Linked DNA regions of Notamacropus eugenii. The protein of the gene in region 3 purifies or fractionates together with the protein of the main gene of each other region. This does not show direct contact. Links are inferred from orthologs where the notes say so. Each region holds a gene or a part of one and is shown on either strand. Other genes may lie near its edges. The genes, in order: MAP3K7, STAT2 and USP18.

The links.
Region 1: the proteins of USP18 (region 3) and MAP3K7 purify together in Homo sapiens (affinity purification with western blotting; 4 studies listed by BioGRID, with this or other methods). This does not show direct contact. The link is inferred for Notamacropus eugenii from reciprocal best matches to the Homo sapiens genes USP18 and MAP3K7.
Region 2: the proteins of USP18 (region 3) and STAT2 purify together in Homo sapiens (affinity purification with western blotting; 6 studies listed by BioGRID and IntAct, with this or other methods). This does not show direct contact. The link is inferred for Notamacropus eugenii from reciprocal best matches to the Homo sapiens genes USP18 and STAT2.

The regions. Positions count from the first base shown.
Region 1 is NC_092873.1:164,561,809-164,569,676, forward strand, and holds the start of MAP3K7 (mitogen-activated protein kinase kinase kinase 7), read right to left. Parts: upstream 3,037-7,868; 5' UTR 2,857-3,036; coding exon 2,737-2,856; intron 1-2,736. UniProt on the Homo sapiens protein: Serine/threonine kinase which acts as an essential component of the MAP kinase signal transduction pathway. Plays an important role in the cascades of cellular responses evoked by changes in the environment.
Region 2 is NC_092874.1:231,637,331-231,644,431, reverse strand, and holds the start of STAT2 (signal transducer and activator of transcription 2), read left to right. Parts: upstream 1-4,084; 5' UTR 4,085-4,180; intron 4,181-4,655; exon of another isoform or gene 4,656-4,728; intron 4,729-7,101. Other genes in the region: APOF (apolipoprotein F), read left to right, coding at 2,534-3,427. UniProt on the Homo sapiens protein: Signal transducer and activator of transcription that mediates signaling by type I interferons (IFN-alpha and IFN-beta).
Region 3 is NC_092874.1:207,782,904-207,789,928, reverse strand, and holds the start of USP18 (ubl carboxyl-terminal hydrolase 18), read right to left. Parts: upstream 3,078-7,025; 5' UTR 1,312-3,077; intron 1,283-1,311; exon of another isoform or gene 1,137-1,282; intron 1-1,136. UniProt on the Homo sapiens protein: Interferon-induced ISG15-specific protease that plays a crucial role for maintaining a proper balance of ISG15-conjugated proteins in cells. Regulates protein ISGylation by efficiently cleaving ISG15 conjugates linked via isopeptide bonds.

The DNA.
Region 1 (7,868 bases), on a different chromosome or scaffold from region 3:
TTCCTACTCAATTATGAGTTGGAGTAGATGATCTCTTGTCTCTTCCAACTCCCAAGATTTTGTGAGGCTTTGTTCTGCATAGCTCCAACAACTTTTCCCACTTATGTGTTTTATTTCCTGAACCAGACCTCTTAATCAAGAGAAGCTATGTCTTATAATTCTAATATAGTCTTTTGCACACAAAGTAGGAATTGAATAACTCTTGTGAATTAGTCTATGAATTTCTCCCTTTTCTATGGAGGCCTAATCACAAATTCTGTGGTAAGGACAGAATAAAAGATTTAGAATCATAAGATCTGGGTGCAAATCCCAGCTCTGCTAACTTACATACTATAATTTTTACACAAACCTTGATCCATAGACACAGAAGTTCACTGGCATAAATTTTTAAAGGAAAAAATACAATTTTTATATATGACACAAATTTTGATCTCAAAATTTATCTCTCAATGACATAAAAAAAGACTGACTTTTATTTCAAAAAAGAAATTCCTTTCAAATAACAATGGAACCATACTATTTCTTCTTAAGGGTTCTCTGGGTTTTCATAATCAATATGAATTATAAAATATTTTTCTTATGTTTTATTCACAAAATAAGATTCTTTTCTTGTCTATATGACCTCATATAGTATAGTATCTCCACTAAGTTATTCACACACATATAAAATGGAGAAAAAAAATTCTTCCATATATAATAAAATATACTTTGTTATACTATCAGTAATTGCCATTATAGAATAAGTACTGTAAAGTTTAAAAGCTGAATATGTACTTTAAGGACTGGAAACATGTCAGCTTAAGATGTGGTTCTTTAAAATGCCTCTAATACAGGAGATCATATGATCATATATTTAGAGCTGTAAGTGGACTTTAAAGGCCATCTGGTTCAACACACTTATTCTCTAGATGAAGAAACTGAGGTTCAAGGAGGTTAATCGACTTGGCTTAAAACTAGAGAGGTAGAAAAAGGACTTGAAGCCTGGGTAGGACCTCTAACTTTAGAGTGAGTACTCTTAAAAGAGTACCCAATAAATGTGTAAAATATTCAAACTGTTTAGTTAACTGCTAATGTCAATTTCCTTAAAACTTTTCAGAAATTTGTCTTTTAATATTTTTTTATACACAATTTGTCGTTTTGGTCTGAACCAACAATTTCAGTACTTTGAGGAACTCCTGGCAAGGAAAAAAATTTTTAACCAATGCAGATAGGTAGGCAAAATGTGTACCTGATCTTACTTCTAAATAGCATTTATTTAACATATGTTATAATCTCAATCACACTTCTATCACCTAGATAGACAAAAACTAATGAATTAACTTTATTACACTCCAGAAGGAAAAAGTGAAGTAGAACTGTGATTAAGGAAGGATTCAGGTTTTCTAACAATAACTTACAATCAACTTTTTTTAAAATTCTAGATCAAATTTGGATTATGCGGCATCTCTGCATAACTTTGTGATGTTTATGGCACTCTATAGACTGCATAATATACCTGATCATTAATGTGAACCATGTATGAAAACCATCTTAATCTTTAATTTTAGCAATCCCATTTTATGTTTCCTTTACATATTCACATTCAAGAATCAGTTTGATTTAAGAGAACTAAACCTCACTCTACACAACTGATTCCTTTATGAAGTGTTGTCAACACAATTTTTATAAGATCAAAGAACCTAATTAGAGGGACTTTAGAATTTTGGTAGTTTGACCACTCTTAGTGTGCAGAGCAGGAAAGAGGCTCAGAAAGATGAAATCACTTTGCAGTCAAATAATATGTAAGCATTATAAATGTAGAGAGCTAATTTAAAAGTTTACTTTCTAACAAAATGTAGTTAAAAACCCCAACTCCCAATCTCTTTTCCCCTAACTCGAAGTTTTCTATCAAAAGCATCACCATTCTGCTAGTAACCTCATTCATTTTTTATTCTTTCTTTTCGAAGGAAACCAACAACCCGAACCGCGTTGACTCTACCTCTGCATTATCCCCTATCATTTGTCTCCTCAGTTCATAGCGCAACCCTCTTTGCTCAGGCTTTCCCTTTTTCAGTAATTCATGAAATAAGTAATTCATAAAATATTAAAAATACTAAAATTTATGAATTTAGTAATTCATAAAATAATTAAATGAAATGAGCTTTAAAGCTCACCCTTCCATCTCGAAAACCTAGCATCCTAACTAACAGCTGACTTCCAGCCTATCCTCTCAAATTTGGAGTCAAAGGAGAGTCTGGTGCAAACTCCGGCCAGCACCGCTACTTCACTACCAGTATGACTCTGGAAAAGTCACCGAACCTTCCTCTGGGCCTCAGTTTCTGCGTCTGTAAAGTGAAAAGGTAGGACTAGATAATCTCAAGGTCCCTTTCAGCTCGAAAGCATAGGACCTAACTGGTCACCACTGCTTTGTGGATACAGCACTAAGCTTTAACTGGATCTGTATTAGAATTGGGGCTGGGGGAGCAGCGGAATGGGGAACTGTCCCACCACGTTCCTCGAGAGTATTGTTGACAAAGAGGGAAACTAAGTCTTGTTCTGGAAAGCCTGTTACGGAGCCTGCTATTCCCGGCATCTCGACGTAAAGCAATGAAGTACTGTGGCCAAACTTCTGCAGCGAACGGAAAAGGGCAGGCTCTCCCACCCCGCACCTCCCCGGCCCCTCTGCGGCAGCTCCAGCCTCAGGCCCACGAAGGCTCGTCTAGGGCGGGCAGGAAGGGACAAAGGCTCGGCACCCACCTCTTCCACCTCGATCTCCTTGTAGTCGATCTCTTCGAAGTGGAGGACCTGCGAGGGGGTCTCGATCATGTCACCCGCCGAAGAGGAGGAGGAGGAGGAGGCAGCTGAGGCAGTAGACATGATCCCTCTCGGCAGCCGGGGAGAGGCCGCCCCGACAGTCCGGAGGGCTGCGTCCTCCGTCGTCCGGACCGACCTTCAGCCCGGACACCGACAGTCCGGGGACCCGGGGGCCCGGGGAGCCGTGGTGGGGATAGCGGCCGAGGCCGTGTCCCGGCTCGGGCTCGACTGCCCTTTCCGGTCGGGGAGGGGAGGACCCGCCTCCTAATCTTCCGGTTCCGCTCGGAAACCGGAAGAAGGGACAGCCGCGGGTCTGCAGGACTTTGCCCTGCGGTCCCGGCGCGCTGTATCCTGGGAGCAATAAAAGAAGACTAAGGAGCGGAGGGAGCCGGGCCTTCTAGCCTGCACCTCCCGAGAGCGCCGTAGCGGGGGTGGGTGCAGACCCTCCTCTCTAGGAGGGAGATCCCGCGAGATCTGGGTGCCAATCAGAACCTAAAGCGCGAACGTCTGCTTTGCTCTTGACTGGCACCTCTGCGGAGAAGCGATCGGGACGCGTTTACTCGGGTGAAGCGGGAAAGCCTGCCTTGGTTCGGGAACCCGACTATCCCGAGTGGAAGTGACCACCGCTCTATTTCTCTCCCTAGTTTGGGAAGAAAATTCTGAGCCCCGCCCCTTGAGCACCCTGTGTGGGTAGGGGGCAGCGGCGAGGGAAGGAAGCCGAGGTCGGGGAGAGAGGGATCTTCCCTCCGCGCTGCGTGGAACTGCGGGACTCCTCCCCGTAAACTTCGTGTCCCGCCCTGACCTTCCACCGTAACTGGAGCTGCGGCTCCTGGGAGCCCGGAATGCGTTTCCTCCGTTTAATGACCTGTGACAGAAGTTAAACCGGCTGGCAATATTTATTGACCATCTGCCCGGTGGCAGTGAGCCTATGCCAGGGCTTCTGTGCCCAGGGAGTCAATAATGGGAGTAGTGCCGGGGGGCTTCAGGCTCCGTCACTGCCAGCTAGAATACTCCCCAAGTCTTAACCATACTGAGTGATTCTGTCCCGAGAGAACCCAGGTGTTCAGTCATTTCCGACCCCATTTGGGGTTTTCTTGGCAGGGGTACTGGAGTGGCTTGCCATTTTCTTCTGCTCATTTTACAGATGGGGAAGCCGTGGCAAAGAAGGTTTAGGTGACTTGCCCAGGGTCACACAGTTGGTAAGCGTCTGAGGATGCATATTTGAACTCAGGTCCTGACTGCAGTCCTGGTGCTCTGTCCCACTGCACTACCTAGCTGCCCTGTAGAGAAGAAAACCAGAGTTCAGATCTAACCTCAAACTCAACTGTAGACCATAGATTTAACCTGTTTGCCCCAGTTTTCTCATGTGTAAGATGGAGATAATAATAGCACCTACCTCGCAGGGTTGTATTGAGGATCAAATGAGAATAATTGGAAAGCACTCGGCACTTAGGAAGCTATATATAAATCTCGTTTATTACTAGGCTTACTAGGTGTCAGGCATTGTGCTAAGAGCTGGGGATACAAAGTAAACAAAAATTCCCTGCCCTAGAGCTTACTTTCTAATAAGGAGACATGTCAATCAAAAGGTACACACAACACAAATCAGCATTAAATTGGAGGGTAAAAGAAGAGAAAGATCTGGCAGCCAAGACCGCCAGGAATGATCGGAAGGGGCAATTAAATTGATACTTGAAAGAAGCTGGACATTCTAAGAGGCAAAGGTGTGGAGGGCCTTCAGATATAAAGCGCAGATATGAAGAACAGCCAGTAGGCTGGTATAGTAGGATTTAAAATGTGGAGGAGGTTAGACAGATTGGAAGAGTAGGAAAGGAACCAGGTTGTGAAAAGCTTTAGCTGCCCCCCCCCAACACCGCTCCCCCTCCCACTCCCAAAAAGGACTTTATATTTAATCTTGGAGCTAATAGAAAGCCCCTAGAATTTATTGAGGGGGAGTGACATGACAGACTTTTACTTTAGGAAGATCATTTTGGCAAATGAGTGGAGTATGAATTTGGGTGGTAAGAAATAAGACAGGTAGAGGGAGACTAATAAGGAGGTTATAATAATAATACAGGCAGGTGATGACAGCTTAGACTAGGGTGGTGGCTATATGTGAATGAAGAGCAGGAGATACACAGGAGAGATGTATGGCAAAAACCAAGATTTGGTAACATTAAATAGGTGAGTGAGTGTGGAGTAAAGGATGACACTAAGGTTATGAATCTGGCATACTGGGTGAAGTATGGGGGTAAAGATAATGAATTCTGGTTTGGATATGTGGAGTTCAAGATGCCTTTGGGACATCAGTAAAGAAGTCACAGATTGTTCTCTGCGCCGTACAAATTAGAGGATCTTAATTCCTTTGCATATTTGCTGGGAAAGCAATTGAGATCTGACCTACTTCCCCAGGCATAATCAAACCCTTGCCTTACTGTCCTATATATGAGGCAGGTACAACAAGTAGTTATTTCCTTAAATTTCACAATTAAGAAAACTGGGGCACAGAGAGGCTTAAATAACTTGCCCAGGGTCACACAGCCTGCAAATATCTGCGTTAGAACTGGAAATAGCTTTGGGTACTGGAAAGAGTTTTGGATTTTGTGTCAGATGATTTGGGTTTAAATGTAAACTGTGACATTTCTCATGTAACCTTGGACAAGTCACTTAACTTCTGTTTCAGGTTCATCCTATGTAAAAGGAAGTTTAAAGAGTTGGACTAGATACTGTCTTGGGTTCCTGCTAAGATCTAAAATCACAAAAATTTGAATACTTGGTATATTACGATGTTTAATCTGATACATTTGATCATACTGTATAACATTGGTATACTAGGTGCTTTCATAACACATTTAGCTAAGGCAGTCCTTGGACAAACACAGACCTTACTCAATTCTTATTCAAAGCCTTCCCATTTTGATAGGATCAGCTAGGGGCTTGTGTTATACTTGTTTAGTCCTTAGAAAATATAGGGTCACTATACTTGGGCAAAGGAACTGAATATTGATGTTATTGTAGTTAGTTTTCACACGGGAAGTGGTTGTACTGATCCAGAAACCTTTGTCCAACCAGTTTCTGATCACTGATGATCTTAGACATGGGGGTAGAATTTGGTTTCAACATGTTTCTTCTTGTTATTGGTGGTGGTTTTCCTGGTTCTGAGGATGTAAAGCTTAAGTGTGAAGAGATCTCAAATATAACCAGTCCAGCATTGGACAAGTATTTTCTTTCTGACTCTTGAGTGAGAATCATAGTTGAACCAGGCAGATACTGTGTTGCATTAGCTTTCATTCTTGGAGTTAACCGCATTGCCAAAAAAACTTGTATTAAAGAAACAGGTTCTGATGATGAAGATGAGGCAAATGATCAAACCTTTACGTACTATGCCAGTGATGGATTCTATGGACCATTTAATTGCATCCTGTTTGATGTTAAACCTATTCTACAGAAGAGACCCAAACTAGATGAGAAGTATTACTCTTCTAGCATATGGGGACCAACATGTGATGGCCTTGATCGAATTGCTGAATGTGGCAATTTACCAGAAATGCATGTAGGAGACTAGATGCTGTTTGAAAACATGGGCTCCTATACTGTCGATGCTGCTTAAATGGATTCCAGTGATGCACTATCTGTTATCTGATATCTGGGACAGCATGGCAATACATACAATGAAGGAAGAACCAAGGTTTCTTTTTTTCTTTTTTAAAAAAATTTATTTGTTTTCAGTTTTCTACAATCACCACATCTTAGATTTCCTCCCCTCTCCCTCCCCAAGACGGCATGCAATACACATACATTCCTATTAAATACATTTTCACATTGGTGATGTTCCATAGAAGAATTAAAATGAATGGGAGGGCAGCTAGGTGGTGCAGTGGATAGAGCACCAGTGCAGGAGTCAGGAGGACCTGAGTTCAAATCTTACCTCAGATACTTGACACTCACTAGCTGTGTGACCTTGGGCAAGTCACTTACCCCAACTACCTCATCCTGGGTCTCCAGTCATCCTGATGAATATCTGGTCACTGGATTCAGATGGCTCTGGAGGAAAAGTGAGGCTGGTGACGTACACAGCCCTCTCTCACTCAAAACAAAGTCAAGTGCAAGTCATGTCATTATTTCTCTGATGGCATGGTCTTCTTCAGTGATGAAGGACAAACACACAAAACGAATGGGAGAAACCATGAGAAAAATCAAAACAAAACATAACACAAGAGAAAACAGTCTGCTTCATTCTGTTCTCCAAGAACCAAGGTTTCTAACAGAAGTAGAGGACCAGGACATCAACACTTTGATAGTGTCTTGTGCTTGGGAAGGTAGAATGGAACATCACTCAATAACCTCCACTTCAGATAGTGTTATTGTATAGATGTTCTTTGTAGCCATTAATTGCAAGTTTAGCTTGAATTAGAGCATTTGGGGGTAATCATTAACTTAATTCCTGCTTGAGTTTTTAAATGTTTTTTAAGAATGAGGTAGGCACGAATGCAACAATATGGAAGACTAACAGATGGGATCATACTTATCTGTGCTCCTATGGAAACTATTTGAATATTTGTTTTATATGGATTTTTATTCACTTTTCAAATATGCTTTTAAAGATTGCCTCTCAGCTGCTAAGCAAGCATTTGTAGCTTGTACAATGTCAGGATGGGATTGAATTTAGTGTTGTCACCTGTTTTATTTTTATTTTTTATTTTTTAAAATTTATTTATTTAACTTTTAGCATTCATTTTCACAAAATTTTGAGTTCCAAATTTTCTCCCCATTTGTCCCCTCCCTCCACCCCCAAACACCAAGCATTCTGATTGCCCCTATCACCAATTTGCCCTCTCTTCTATCATCCCTCCCTTCCCTTGTCCCCATCTTCTCTTTTGTCCTGTAGGGCCAGATAACTTTCTGTACCCCATTACCTGTATTTCTTATTTCCTAGTAGCAAGAACAGTACTCGACAGCTGTTCCTATAACTTTGAGTTCCAACTTCTCTTCATCCCTCCCTCCCCACCCATTCTCTTTGGGAAGGCAAGCAATTCAATATAGGCCATATCTGTGTAGTTTTGAAAATGACTTCC
Region 2 (7,101 bases), about 24 Mb from region 3:
TTTATTGTGGCTTGGCTTCTATAGAACAAGAAGAAAAGAAACCAATGAGACCTTCGTTCTTGGATTACAAGGTGTTGGCAAGACTTAAGATCCTACTGTCTCTGTAGCTCTTGGGCAAATTTCAGTTGAGCTGGGGATTCATCATTGCTCACTTGTCCCTCCAGAGAGACTATACCCATGAACCTGAGGGGTGATCTATCAAATTTCACAACAAGCATGTGAGTTTGTCCTGGTTCTGTTCCCATAGACCCCAAGTCCCATTTCCAGGCTTTTGTCCTCCATGCTATTCAGAGTTTTCATCTGAGGCTTGAAGTGTCATGCAGTATCAGCTAAAACTTCCTGAATTAAAGGCTATCATAATGTGCCGAGTTGATCAAAAAGTCCTGGCCAAACATTTCCTAATACCCTCTACCCCAAGACTTGCAGCTTCTCGGTGAAGAGCACAGTCTGCTTGTTTTCTTGGATAAAATTCAGGCTATATAGAATAACTAGTCCTTTGGGGGTGAGGGGACAGAAACTCTAAATAGTTTGCAAATGCTTCACATGAAGACTAGTAACCCAATCTTCCTAAAGTTTTGATGAGCAATTAAAGCTTACATTAAACAGGAATAGAAAGACATGTTATTTCTCTCTTTATGTCCAGTAAAACCTAGTTTAGTGGTTGTAATAGGTGCTTAATAAGTGTAGATTTTTTTAATTGACTAACTAGAATTAAAGGGTCCAAGAGGCTGTAGAGAGGGGAAAGAAACACCCCAGTTTCACTGAAACTTAAGATAGATACAAGCTGTTGATTAAAGGACCCATACCTGACCAGTTCTATCTTGGTCTCTCTCCCTTTAGCTTCCAGACCCTCTTTGCACACATATACTTAATGCATACATATACTTAGATGTCTATAATCATACTCATATAGACATACACATTCACATGCATTATGTAAGACCGTGCTATATTTATTTGACCTCTTTCTCTGAGGGTGGATAAACTCTTCCTTCACAAGTCCAAGTCTTTCCATTTCTCATTTGTGGGGGAAATCTGGAGAGTTTGGAACTTTCTGACCTACTCAGTCATCTTCCCAGAATCATCGCCCCTTGACCACACTTTCTTTGTCTCTTCCGAATTTCAACCACCTAGACCCTCTGCTCTATTCCCTCATTAAGCAAATATTGAGCATGTACTTTGTATTTACCCTTTACTAATATCCTCTAGTGCTTCATAATTTCATGGAGGAGACTCTAGGTCAGGGGTGGGGAACCTGATGTGTCAAGGCCACATGTGACCCTCTAGGTCCTCAAGTGCAGCCAAAACTTTGACTGAATCCAATTAAATAAGGACTTAGATCCTTAAAGGTTATGTGAATTCGATGCAAACTAACAGATCTACTGCATGAGAAAAATTGCAAATATGTCACCAGTAACTGTCTTGACTGAAGACAATTTCCCAGACTGAAGACTGGGAAAGTTTGGAGAATCTCAGACTACTCTTTTATCTTCCACAATGTCCATTCCCTAGACTTCTCTGAACCTGAGCAGGAACCTGGTGGCATGGGTGACAGGCAAATAGCAAGGAAAAGAAACTGCCCAGTTAATTGCCTTTTTCCTAATGAAGATGAAAGCATAATAATAGTAGCTTACCTTATATAGCACTTTGTACATATTCCTTTTGATTCGCAGTGGAAATAACAACAATAACCCCTATTATTATTGCAGCTGCCATGTGCCAGGCATGGTGCTAAGGACTTTACAAATATCCCATTTGAAAATGTTATCTCACTTATCTTCACAACTGAGAGGTAGGTCATATCATTACCTCTATTTTCCAGTTGAGGAAAACAGAGGTTAAATGTCTTGCCCAAAGTCACACAGTCTGAAGCTGGATTTGAACTGTGGTCTCCCCAAGTCCAGATTCAAGGCTGTACCCACTGCATCGTCTAGCTATTGTCCCTGCTACATTGATGAACAAACAGGTTCATGGAAGTTAAATGAATTAAGTGTCATAGAACTTAGTAAGGAATAAGACTTGGACTCAAACCCTCTAACTTTATATGGTTTTCTGTTCACTTTCCTACATCACAAGAAAACAAGGGATGATCTGTTGCAAGATGGACAAATATTTACAGTGATCACATCTCTTGCCAATCTTTGGGATCGAATAGGAGGAGGAGGGGCGAGTGGAGAAGTCCACAACTGGAAAGTTACAAGGCAGTGAGACCTACAAAGGAGAGGCTGTGTGGCTCTTAAACAGGTGGGTATACTTCTTGTTTTTGTTCGATGAGAAATGATTCTCTAGCTTTCCACAAAGACAAAGATGAAGAGACCAGAATTGGCAGGGGAGGATAAAGAGCACAAATTCTTGCATAATCAGTCCAAAAATTCCCACCTTGTCTGTTGGTACCAAGTTATTGAGGTGGAGGTTGTAATAGGGATAGAATTGTTCCCTGACTGGGATCTGAATCCTTTCAGACTTCAACCAGAATAGCTTTGTGTCTCCTTTATATTCCTCTCTAGCAAGGCTGTATCCACTACCCTCCAAAATGCCTGTGATGGTCCTTCTATGCAGCCTCCTGCTATACCCAGTAGCTGCCCTCCCAGATGGATCCCATCCCAAGGCCCTACCCCTCCCAACTTCGTCCCTGGAGTCCCAACCAACCACTCTCAGCCCCCTTTCCTGTTGGAACCTGATGCCTGAGTCTCTTCCCGATTTCAACCGCCTAGACCCTCTGCCTAAGTATCTGATTAGCCTGGCCTTCTACATAACCCTGGAGAGAGCAGGATGCCCAGCGGATGCCCACGACCTTCGGCAGCGACTCCATAGACTGGGCGGGGTGAAAGCCACAGAGACTCTCATCCAACAGCTCCAAGGCCTTCCAAGGACCAGAAGAGAAAGGAGATCGGACTGGGTCCTGTTCTCTGCTCTGCAGCTCCTGGGCCGGAGAAGTGAGAGGTCCAGAAGGGCGCCTCGTTCCCTCTCGACCGCGGACTGTGTCTATGAGAAGGAGCGAGGAGTGCACAATGTGATGCGGTACCTGCCCCAAGTGGGGACTTACTACAACCTTGGGACAGCTTTCTATTATGCTGCCCAGAACTGCACTGCTCAGGCCTGGGAGCGAGGACAGGAAGCGGCGCTGGACCTGGGCTACGATCTCCTTGTTGGACTCATGGGGGCAACAGGGGGGCCTGGGGGGGTGATGGCCGGTTTGGCACTTAAGCCGGCGGTCAAAGCTGGGGTTCAGAAACTGATCGAATATTATTACGGTAATAAGGAGGAGTCAGGAAGCCCAGCCCAGGGCACAGAGCAAAGGTGGCAGGACTGGAGAGCCAGCACAGAATTGGGCCCTGGGGTGTCTCCGGCTATGGGCAGCAGCGATCGCACGGCTGATGAGGTGACAGGGGACAGCTCCCTGTGGAACTGGGGGAGGGGGGCATGAAAGAAGGAGTCGGAGAGGGACGTCTGTATCAGTATGTGCGAGTGCTTAATAAAGGCTTGATTGTTCTCCGCATCTGTGTCTGCGCTTAATAAAAGATGGCTGGAATTTTAATTTGGAATTTAATCTCTAGGTCATGTAGGAAACTGAGGGAAGCCAGGTCAGTGGCACTCGAAGAAAACGGTGAGGCTTAGGTTTGAACTCGTGAGCCTAAATCCTCTTCACTTCTGCCAGGGTCTCTCTTTACCTGCTGCGCCGCCTCGGGGCCGGCTCTCGAGCTGCTCCCCAGGTTGACTGACAGCCTTTAGTTTCATCTCTAGCTTGAGCTCTTCTCTTTTCCCCTGTAGCTCCGCCTCAATTCCAGGAAACCATCAGCCTCCCGGGCTCAATCTTTGACTTTTCATTGGGCTATTCTTCCAGCGGGACTCCCTCCCGCCGCGGAAAGAAGGCGGAGTTTGGCTGGACCTTCAGTCCAATCACTGCGGGCGGAAGGCGGGGCTTTTCCTTCATGCCCCACCCTTTGACGAGGGGCGGGGCTTGTCGTTCTGAGGAAGCCTTCGAAGAGCCAGAAGAGGCTGGTGGAGAGCGCGGAGTGACGCGCTGGAGCTGCCGAAGGGAGGGGTGTCCAGACCCGGAATAGCTAGGCGGAGGGAGGAGCCTGAGAGTGAGGGGGTGGGGCTTCCAGTGTTTAGGGTCGAGCAGGCAGGCGAGTGCTGGGTCCCTGAGCCGCGAGACTGGGGGAGCGACACCAGCCAGGTAAGGAGGCCGCGAGCCCCCTTGGGAGGGCGAAGCATGGGCTCCGGGCAAGCGATCGTAGGTTCTGAGGAGAGGGTGGGCCTCCAGGAGACCTTGGAGTCTGACACCCGCCATTAGCCGCGGCCCCTGAACTTGGATGCACGGCCCGCCCCCCCTCCCCTCGACTCCCTACTGTGCAGCCCCCGGCCCCTGATCCCCATCCCCTGCCCCTTCATGTATCACCCTCCTCAGCCCTTCCTTTTCCTCTGTGATATTCCAGTCTTGGCTCTCTATTCTCTTTCTTCCCTAGAACTCATTAGATGGTGGCGGAGGGTGCTTTTAAAAAATACAGTATATAATTTGTGAAAATAACATTTTAAGGGGGGGAGTGGGAGGGGCGGGGGCGGGAGTTGTATCTCTTCTCCTCCCCTCCCCCCCACGCCGTATTTGAGGCTTTTAACACCAGATCATTTTTTCTCTTTACTGATGCATGAAGTCTCAGGGGAAGAGAGATTGGCAAACGTCAATCCCCAGCACCTTTCACTACCCCACAGTATTTCTGACAACAGGTAGCCCAGGAGGGGGGCGGGGCCAGGGGAGGGGGCGGGGCCAGGGGAGGGGCGGGGCCAGGGGCGGGGGGGCGGGGAGGAGAGGGAGGCTTTGACAAGTTTCACCAATTTGGGCACCTAGCCCGGGAATGTACTGTCAACTTTCTTCCAATATCTGAGTTGGATTCCTCTCTTTTCAGTTCTAGGATTTAACCTCTAAAATCAGGGTCATTTCGTATTTCCTGATCAGCTTGTGTCCCCTTTCCCACTAAAATTTTTAACTCCCTTACAACTTTTCATGACCCAAAAGGAAATTAGTCTGTAGAGTCCATTTACTATATGGGGGGGAAATATATACATTTATATATGTAAATCTAACATAAATATATAATACAAATAGATCTATATACATATATGTGCGCATATATGTATATGTGCATTTGGATAGGTATTTAGCTTCAAATATAGCTACACAGTTCATATCTATATACATGTATACATGTGTAATTTGTGTTCATTAATGTGCATAATGCACACATGCATATGCATGCAGTGTGTTTATGCATGTATGTGTATTTTGTGTGTTTACATATAAATACATATATTCGTGGGCAGCTGGGTAGAAAGATAGACTTAAAACTCATAAGATATGAGTATTTCTGGGCTCCCAGTCTTCAACCAGGTATTCCCACTGCCCCTTTCTGATCCTTTGGGTAAATCTGTTCCTGTGTTCTGCTTCCTCTTTGTGTTAACATCACATTAGTTTCCTTCCCCTACCAACTGAAACTCCTCTTATGACCAAAATTAAAAACACTTCAGCATAGCCAGTCAACGCAGAAACTGTACAGTATTCTAGCACCGTAGTACCCCACCTCTTCAATAAAGGGATAGGGCTCGATTTTCTCAGTTCTTTTCATAGGGCAAGCTTGGTCATTATAATTACATAGCATTCAGTTTTTTAAATTGTCCTTTTATTTTTTAATCATTACATATATTGTCTTCATGGTTCCGTGTGAGGCAAAGATTGTTTTCCCCAAGCATCTTATCCTAGCTGCATTGATTTCATTTATGCAAAAGCTTTTCAATTTCAAGTAATCAAAATCATCTGATTCCCCTTTTGTGATTGTCTCTTTAACTTGTTTAAAAATTTCTTCTCTAGTCATAGTTTTGTTTTGACAATTTTTAAAGTATTTTTTTCAAGTATGCATTTGTAATTCATTGTGGTATATAGATGCCAGGCAGCTATGTGGTACAGTGGATGAAGTGCTGGGCCTGAGGTGAGGAAGACCTGAATTCAAATATGAAGTCAAATACTAGCTGGGTGGCCCTAACCAAGTCACTTAAACTGTCTAATCCTCAATCTTAATCTGTGAAATAGGGATAATAATAGAACCTACCTTGCAGGTTTGTTGTGAGGTTAAAATTGTAATATTCTTTGCAATCTTAAAGCACTCTGTAAATACTAGCTACTAGGTTGTTGTTGACGATGATCTAAACCTAAATTTCTGACAAACCATTTACCAGTTTTCTCAGTGTTTTTGTCAGAGTTCTTTTCCAAGAATTTTGTTCTCAATTCAATAAACACCAAGTTACTGAGTTTGATAGTCTCTGATTCTTGCTTCACAAGTCTTTTCCACTGATTTACTTTGCTACATTTTAACCAACACCCAATAATTTTGTTAATTGCTATTTTTTAATACACTTTGAAGTCTGGAAGTGCCATCCTAACTTTAATCTCCTTTTTTTGTTATCTCCTTGAAATTCCAGACGTTTGCTCCTCCAAATGAACTTGGTTATTATTTTGCTAGCTCTTTAAAATATATTCTTGGTAGTTTGGTATAGGACAATAAATTTAGGTAGCAGTATTTTTTATGATATTGATCTACACCAACCATGGAAAAATAAGTAGCCCTCCAATGATTTTAGTTTTTCTTTAAAAAAAAATTGATATCTTTTACGCTTGCATAACTGTTATCTTTCTTACCCCTAACAAAAGGAGGCCATTGCTTGTGACAAAGAAAAATGAAAACGTGAGAAAAAAGTGTAGTTCCCCCAAACTAACCAATACAGCAAGCGGAATTTGACAGTATGTACAATGTTCCACATGCATAGTCCCCTCCCATCTCTGCAAAGGAGGGAGAAGCACTTTTTCATCTATAAAATGACAAAGTTGAGCCAGATTATGATACTGTATCTCCTTTAAAGTCAGACTTGGTCCTTATAATTGACCAGTGTTCAGTTCTGGTTTTCTCTTTCTTTTTGTTGACATTGCCTTCTTGTGCATCTACGATTTATTTAATGTTAATTTTTTCTTATTACACAGTAATTTTCCATTATACTAATTTACCACAATTTGCTTAACTAATCTGCAATTAAAGAGCATCTACTTTGTTT
Region 3 (7,025 bases):
CAGTACAGAATGGTGAACCATTTTCATTATACGCTGCATACTCTGTGCTGACCTCCTCATATGGCAACAATATGGATGCCAGAAGTCAAAAACTGTTTATGGATGACTATTATATGATCAGTTAATCAGGATCTGAGCATTTCAGCATAATACTCTTAATAAATCCTAGAGTCCATTTTAACACCATTACAATCATATTGTTTCTGGTCATTTATTGAATTACTTCCTATAGCCAAATGACTTAATAGCAACCTGATTAAAGAAGATAAAATTGCTGGCACTACTGGATTTATTTTGCAGTTAATTTTCATATTTTCATAAACATTATTTTCCTGTTTGTTATTATTATAAGCAAGTTAAATAGTAAATGTGTTTGCATATGTCACGATCCAGTTATTTTGAGGAAATTAGTAAGTGGAAATATCTAATTCCTTTCCTAAGGAAAAAAGAAAATTCAGCTCAGATACTGTTTAAAAAAATATGAGGCAAAGCTTTTTTTTTTTTTTTTTTTTTTTGGTTTCTTAAAAGACTCCAACCAATTTGTTAAAGTTGTAAAAAGTTACCCAACTTATCCAGAAAATGCAGTTAATAAAAGCCAGGGGTCGCAGAACTATCTGGCAAATTAAGCGGTTGCCTAAACAGATCTGCCTCAATTCTCTGCGGCAGAGGCAGAAGTTGAAGTCAGATATTCCTGAAACCAGTGCTAGAGTTTTTTTATATCTATTTTATAAGAAAAGGCAAATATAATTTTTAAGCTTTGTCATACATAGCAGAATGCAAATACATTTATTTAATCGGCTAAACATCCCCCTTTCCATCAGTTAATCCATATACATGTATTAAGCGTCTACTATGTACCAGGTACTTGCTAAGTGCTGGGGATTCAGAAAGAGGTAAATGACAGTACAAGACCTCAAAAAATTTAGTCTATTTAATTTTGAGGGGGGAAAATAGTCTTTATTTATTTAGTCAATTTCCTAAATAGCCCATATTTTTAGTATCCTCAGAACTGAGTCACTATTTTTGTGTAAGGATTTTTAATTTCATTATTCCCCAGGCAGAAATATTTTTTTAAAAAATTCTTAGATCTAAAATATCAAGATAATGCATACAAAAATTAATTCTTTGTAAATCACCTTAACAAATAAACTTTTACCCATCCAAATGGTTTCAGGCGCTGAAAAACCCTGCAGTGGCTTCGGATATGTCAAATTTACTCCGTAGACTTTTGGGAAAGAATTCTTCAACTTAGCCCTGGACCACTGCAAGAGACAAACCAAGTACAGGGAAGAATGAGGGGAGTCCACTTACTGCAGACAGTAAAACGCGAACAAGGCACATCCGCGAGACAGGGTCTACTTCTCAAGCAGCGGAGGAGGTTCTGTGAGCATCTATCCGGAAAGCGACCTGCTTTTGTCTGTGCCTTCCTTGCATACATTCTGCAGCTTTTCCACAGAGGGCAACTGTGAGCTGAGTTGAGTTTTGATTTCCCACAGAATGGAAAGTGAAACTCAACAAGCCGCAGCGGCGCTGTTTCTCAGGTTTCCAAGTCCAGCGGGAAAGGAAACTTTCTTCTTGCGGAGAAGGAAGAGAGGTAAATAGCTGTTTGCCTGCACCAGTCACTGAGGAACGTACCACACCTCTACCTCGAAGCCTAGAGCAGATCCAGGTACACTGGAGCTGACAGGATGGGATTGGGATAGAAGAGATGTGAGATGCACTCTTTACTTAGGTCAGGACTTGGATTTCACAGTCTGATGTATATTGTGTACATAAATATTTTTACACAGGTGTGTATGTGGGCCTATAACATATACATTTAAGTTCCGAGAAAATAAATGATGGTCCATTTATTCTAGAATACTTATAGTAACCCTCTCTGTGGTCACACATACACACACAAAACAGGTTAGAAGCCGGTGGATTGGGTAATAACTAAACAAGTGGGGGTACCAGAATGTAATGGAATATTATTCCACCTTTAAAAAGGAAAAAACTCAGAAAAACAAAAGAAACTCAGAAGCATGGGAAGACATCAATGAACTGATATGCTAGGATGGAAAACAGTATACACAATTTAAATGAAACAATAAAGCCAAACTGAGCAGAGTGTAATTATAATGACCAAGTTTAACTCAGAGAGGAATTGAGAAAATTTGCATTCTAACTTCCTTTACAGACGTTGAGTGTGCAGTGTTGCACGTAACATGGGACACAGTTGTGTTGGCTCTTTTAAATGAACTACTTTTCCACTGTTTTATTGTTTGTTAGGCAAGATAGTTCCCCAGGTGAAAAAGAAAGAATATATGTCTACTAGTCTAATATTTTTAAAAGAAAAAATATTATAGATTCCCATTAATAAGAATAATAAAATAGGAGTTGGTCCAGGACTCAAAAGAGATAGAATGTTCTCAAAAACTGATAATACAACCAACTACATGCCATCTGAAAAAGGAGAAAAAGGGAGGCATAGTTGACATGGAAAGAACACTATCTGGGCAGGGAGTTAGAAGAGGTGGGTTCTAAATGATTAAATGTGTAACCTGAGAGGTCACTTCGCTTGTCTGAGACTCTGAGATCTCATTTGTAAAGGAGCTTGGACTTATCTTCATCTGAGGTCTCTTCCATTTCTAACATTATTTTATACCAATCAGACTCTGTTGGGTTAGATGACCTGTCAGCAACATTGATTATTTTTTGAACCACAAAAATTTAAGAACATTTTAATAGATGCCAATAATCTCCCAACTACATGGAATGAAAAGTTTTAAAAATATAGAGACCTAGAAGAAGAAATTAAAACCATGTGGGAACAGGATGAGATACATCTCATCCCTACCATCCTTCTTTTTTTAATATTTTATTTTTCCCCAATTACATGTCAAAATAGTTTTTTAACATTTTTTTAAAGTCCTGAAATCCAAATTCTATCACTTCATCTCTCCCTCTCTTTCCTCTTCCCTGATACAGTAAGCAATTTGACAATAGGTTATACATGGGCAATCATGTTAAATATTTCCATATTAGTCATTTTGTACTGGAAGACTTGAACAGAACAAAATAAAACAAAAAAAAAGAAAATGAAAAATAGCATGCTTCAGTCTGTGTGTTCAGAAAACATCAGTTCTTTGGAGGCAGATAGCATTTTTCATCAGGAGTCCTTTGAGATTGTCTGGAATCATTGTATTGCTAGACTAGCTGTCATTCACAGTTGATCAGGGTACAATATTGTTGTTACTATGTACAATGTTCTCCTGGTTCCTCTCACTTCACTTTGCATCAGTTCATACAAATCTTTCCAGGCTTCTCCCCCTCCTTTCCTTTTTATTTATTTTCAATTTTCAACATTCACTTTTATAAGATTTTGAGTTCTAAATTTTCCCTGTCCCCTACCTCCTCTTCAAGACAGCATGCAGTCTGATATAATGTCATGTTAAACATATTTCCACATTAGTCATATTGTGAAAGAAGAATCAGAGCAAAAGGGAAAAACTGTAAGAGAAGAAAGAAAGAAAATAGTATGCTTCTATCTGCATTCAGATTCCATAGTTCTTTTTCTGGGTGTGGATAGCATTTTCCATCATGAGTCTTTTAGAATTGTCTTAGAATCTAAGACTTAGATCATTGCATTGTTGAGAAGAACTAAGTTGATCAAAGTTGTTCATCGCACAACGTTACTGTTACTGTGCACAATGTTCTCCTGGTTCTGCTCCCTGCTTTCAGCATCAGTTCATGTAAGTCTTTCCAGGTTTTTCTGAAATCTACCTACTCACCATTTCTTATTTCTTACAGTATTCCATTACATTCATATACCACAACTTGTTCAACAATTCCCCAATTGATGAACATCCCTTCAATTTCCAATTCTTTGACACCACAAAAAGAGCTGCTATAACTATTTTTATACATGTGGGTCCTTTTCTCTTTTTTTATGATCTCTTTAAAATACAGACCTAGCAGTGATATTACTGGGTCAAAGGACATATTTTACACATTTTATGCATGTTTTATGTTTACAGTTTTATAGCCCTTTGGTCAAAGGGTATATTTTACACATTTTATACATCTTTTATGCTTACAGTTTTATAGCCCAAATTGCTCTCCAGAGTGATTTTCCACAACTCCACCAACATTGTGTTGTTGTCCCAGTTTTCCCACATCCCCTCAAACATTTAACATTTTCCTTTTTTGTCATTTTAGTCAATTCAATGAGTATGAGGTGGTAACTCAGAATTGTTTTAACTTGCATTTCTCTAATCAGTAGTGATTCAGAGCATTTTTTCATATGACTATAGTTTTAACAACATTGATTTTAAAGAGAAATATACAAAAAAATGGTAGAAAAGACACAAGGGGAAATTCAAAAGATGGGCATAGACACATCATATTATCAGCAAATTAAAGCCCAAAATACGCTATAGACAACTTTTTAAATACACTTATTTTTGTATTTACCTATATGTGATCAGAGGAGAGTAAATAGAATGGTAATACCTATTCTGACTAATTATTCCACAGTAAATTCTCCTGGGATACAGAACCACTCCTTAGAACATAATAACACTATCAGTCAGCCTAAGCCCTTCAGAATTTCAGGTTTAAGTAGACAATACATTAGTTCTGATGAGGATTATGGTCAGGGAACAGAATAATTTAAGATGTTCCAAAGGAAACTGAGACAAAGGTAATCCACATGGCCAGATAGAGGATAAACACTAATATTTACCCACGCATTGCATGTCTTGAATTTAATTGCGTGTTTATTGATACGTGTGCTAATCATTTCATGTTTGAATAGGTTTTTGTTCTATTATGCTTTTGTTTATAGATATGCTAATGATTTGTAATATATTCTACATGTCAACTAGGCCTATAGTGACTAAAGCAGCTGTGAAGTGGCCTATCTATTGTATGTATTATTACTTTATGTTTGCTGAATATAATTTGCATTATAAGGGGATTGACTGAGACATGGAGTTAAACATCCTTGTTCTGTTCTGTATTGATGCATATTTGATGCTACCTTGTTTGATTCTAGATAGCATGTCTAGCACACCTTATTTGCGATTTTTCTTTTTTAAATCTCTTGGTTTTTTACATGTAAAAATACATGTAAAAATAATTTTTAACATTTGTTTTTAAATTTTGAGTTCCAAAATTTCTCTCACCCTCCTTCCTGTTCCCATGCAAAGCAAGCAATTTGATACGGGTTAAATATGTGCAGCCATGCAAAACATATTTCCATATTAGTCATGTTGTGAAAGAAAACACAGACACCCCTGTAATGGCAATTGAAATGGGAAGATTATTTGTATTGACTTCTTGGCTTCTATGATGGAATTGGCTTTCTGGTTTGGGGATTTGACTTTCTGGAGTCTGAATAAATGTTTTTCTTCTGCCTTCTAAATGGCGAGTCTGTGATTCTGAACTACACTGGCATATTCATAGTCATCCTCGGTGCTGTGAATATTGCCTGGGCAATACAACTCCCTTCCCCTCCAAAAAAAGAAAAAGAAAGTTTAAAATGTATACTTTGATCAGTCCTCAGATTCCACCAATTGTTTCTCTGGAACTGGTATTTATGTCATGAGTCTTTTGGTACTGTCTTGCATCTTTAGAATTACTGAGAATAGCTGTTGTTCACAGTTGATCATCATACAATATTTTTGTTACTGTATACAGTGTTCTTCTGTTTCTGCTCACTTCACTTTGCATCAGTTCATGTAACTCTTTCCAGGTTTTTCTGAAAGCATCCTGCTCATCATTCCTTATAGCATAATTGTATTCTACATTTCCCAGTTGCTGGCATCCCCTCAGTTTTTACTTCTTTGCCAATACAAGAAAAAATATTATAAATATTTTTGTACATGTAGGTCCTTTTCCTTCTCTTTTTTTTGTCTCTTTGGGATACAGGCTCAGTAGTGGTATTGCTAAGTCAAAGGATACACACACTTTTATAACCTTTTGAGCATAGATCTAAATTGCTCTCCAGAATGGTTGAATCAGTTCACAATTCTATCAACAGTGTCCCAATTTTCTCCAACATTTATTTTTTTCTTTCATATTTGCCACTTGGATTGATGTGATGTCATATGTCAGAGATGTTTTAATTTTCATTTAACTAATCAATCATGAATTAGAGCATTTTTTTTTGTGACTACAGATGGCTTTGATTTCTTCATCTGAAAGCTGCCTGTTCATGTTCTTTGACCATTTATCAATTGGAGAATAACTTGTATTTTTTTGTATTCTTTGACTGTTCTCTATTTATTTGATAAATGGGGGCTTTGTCAGAGAAACTTGGGGTAAAATTCTTCCCACCTCGTTTTCTGTTTTCCTTCTAATCTTGGTTACATTGCTTTTGTTTGTGCAAAATGTTTTTAATTTAATATAATCAAAATTATCAATATCCCATTATGCTTTCTATCTCTGGTTTGGCCATAAATTCTTTCTTTATCCATAAATATGACAGGTACACTATTCTATGCTCCCTTAATTTGCCTAAGGTATTACCCTTTATGTCTAAATCATGTGCCTGTTTTGACCTTATTTTGGTATACAGTATGAGATGTTGGTCTATACCTACTTTCTGCCAAATTGCTTTACAGTTTTCCCAGAAGTTTTTGTCAAATACTGGGCTCTTTTTTGGATTTTGGGGTTTATCAAACACTAGATTACCACAGTCATTTACTACTATGTATTGTGTCCCTCATCTATTCTACTGATCTACCACTCTATTTCTTAGCCAGTAGCAGATTGTTTTGATGATTACCACTTTATATTACAGTTTGAGATACAGTATGGCTAAGCCAACTTCCTCCATGTTTTTTTCCATTAATTCTCTTGATATTCTTAGCCCTTTGTTCCTCCAGATGAATTGTTATTTTTTTCTAGTCCTATAAAATAATTTTTGTTAATTTAATATGGTATTGAATTAATTTAGGTAGAATTGTTATCTTCTTATAACTATATGTAGTTACATGTATATAGCTTAACCTACCCATGAGCAATGAATATTTTTTCCA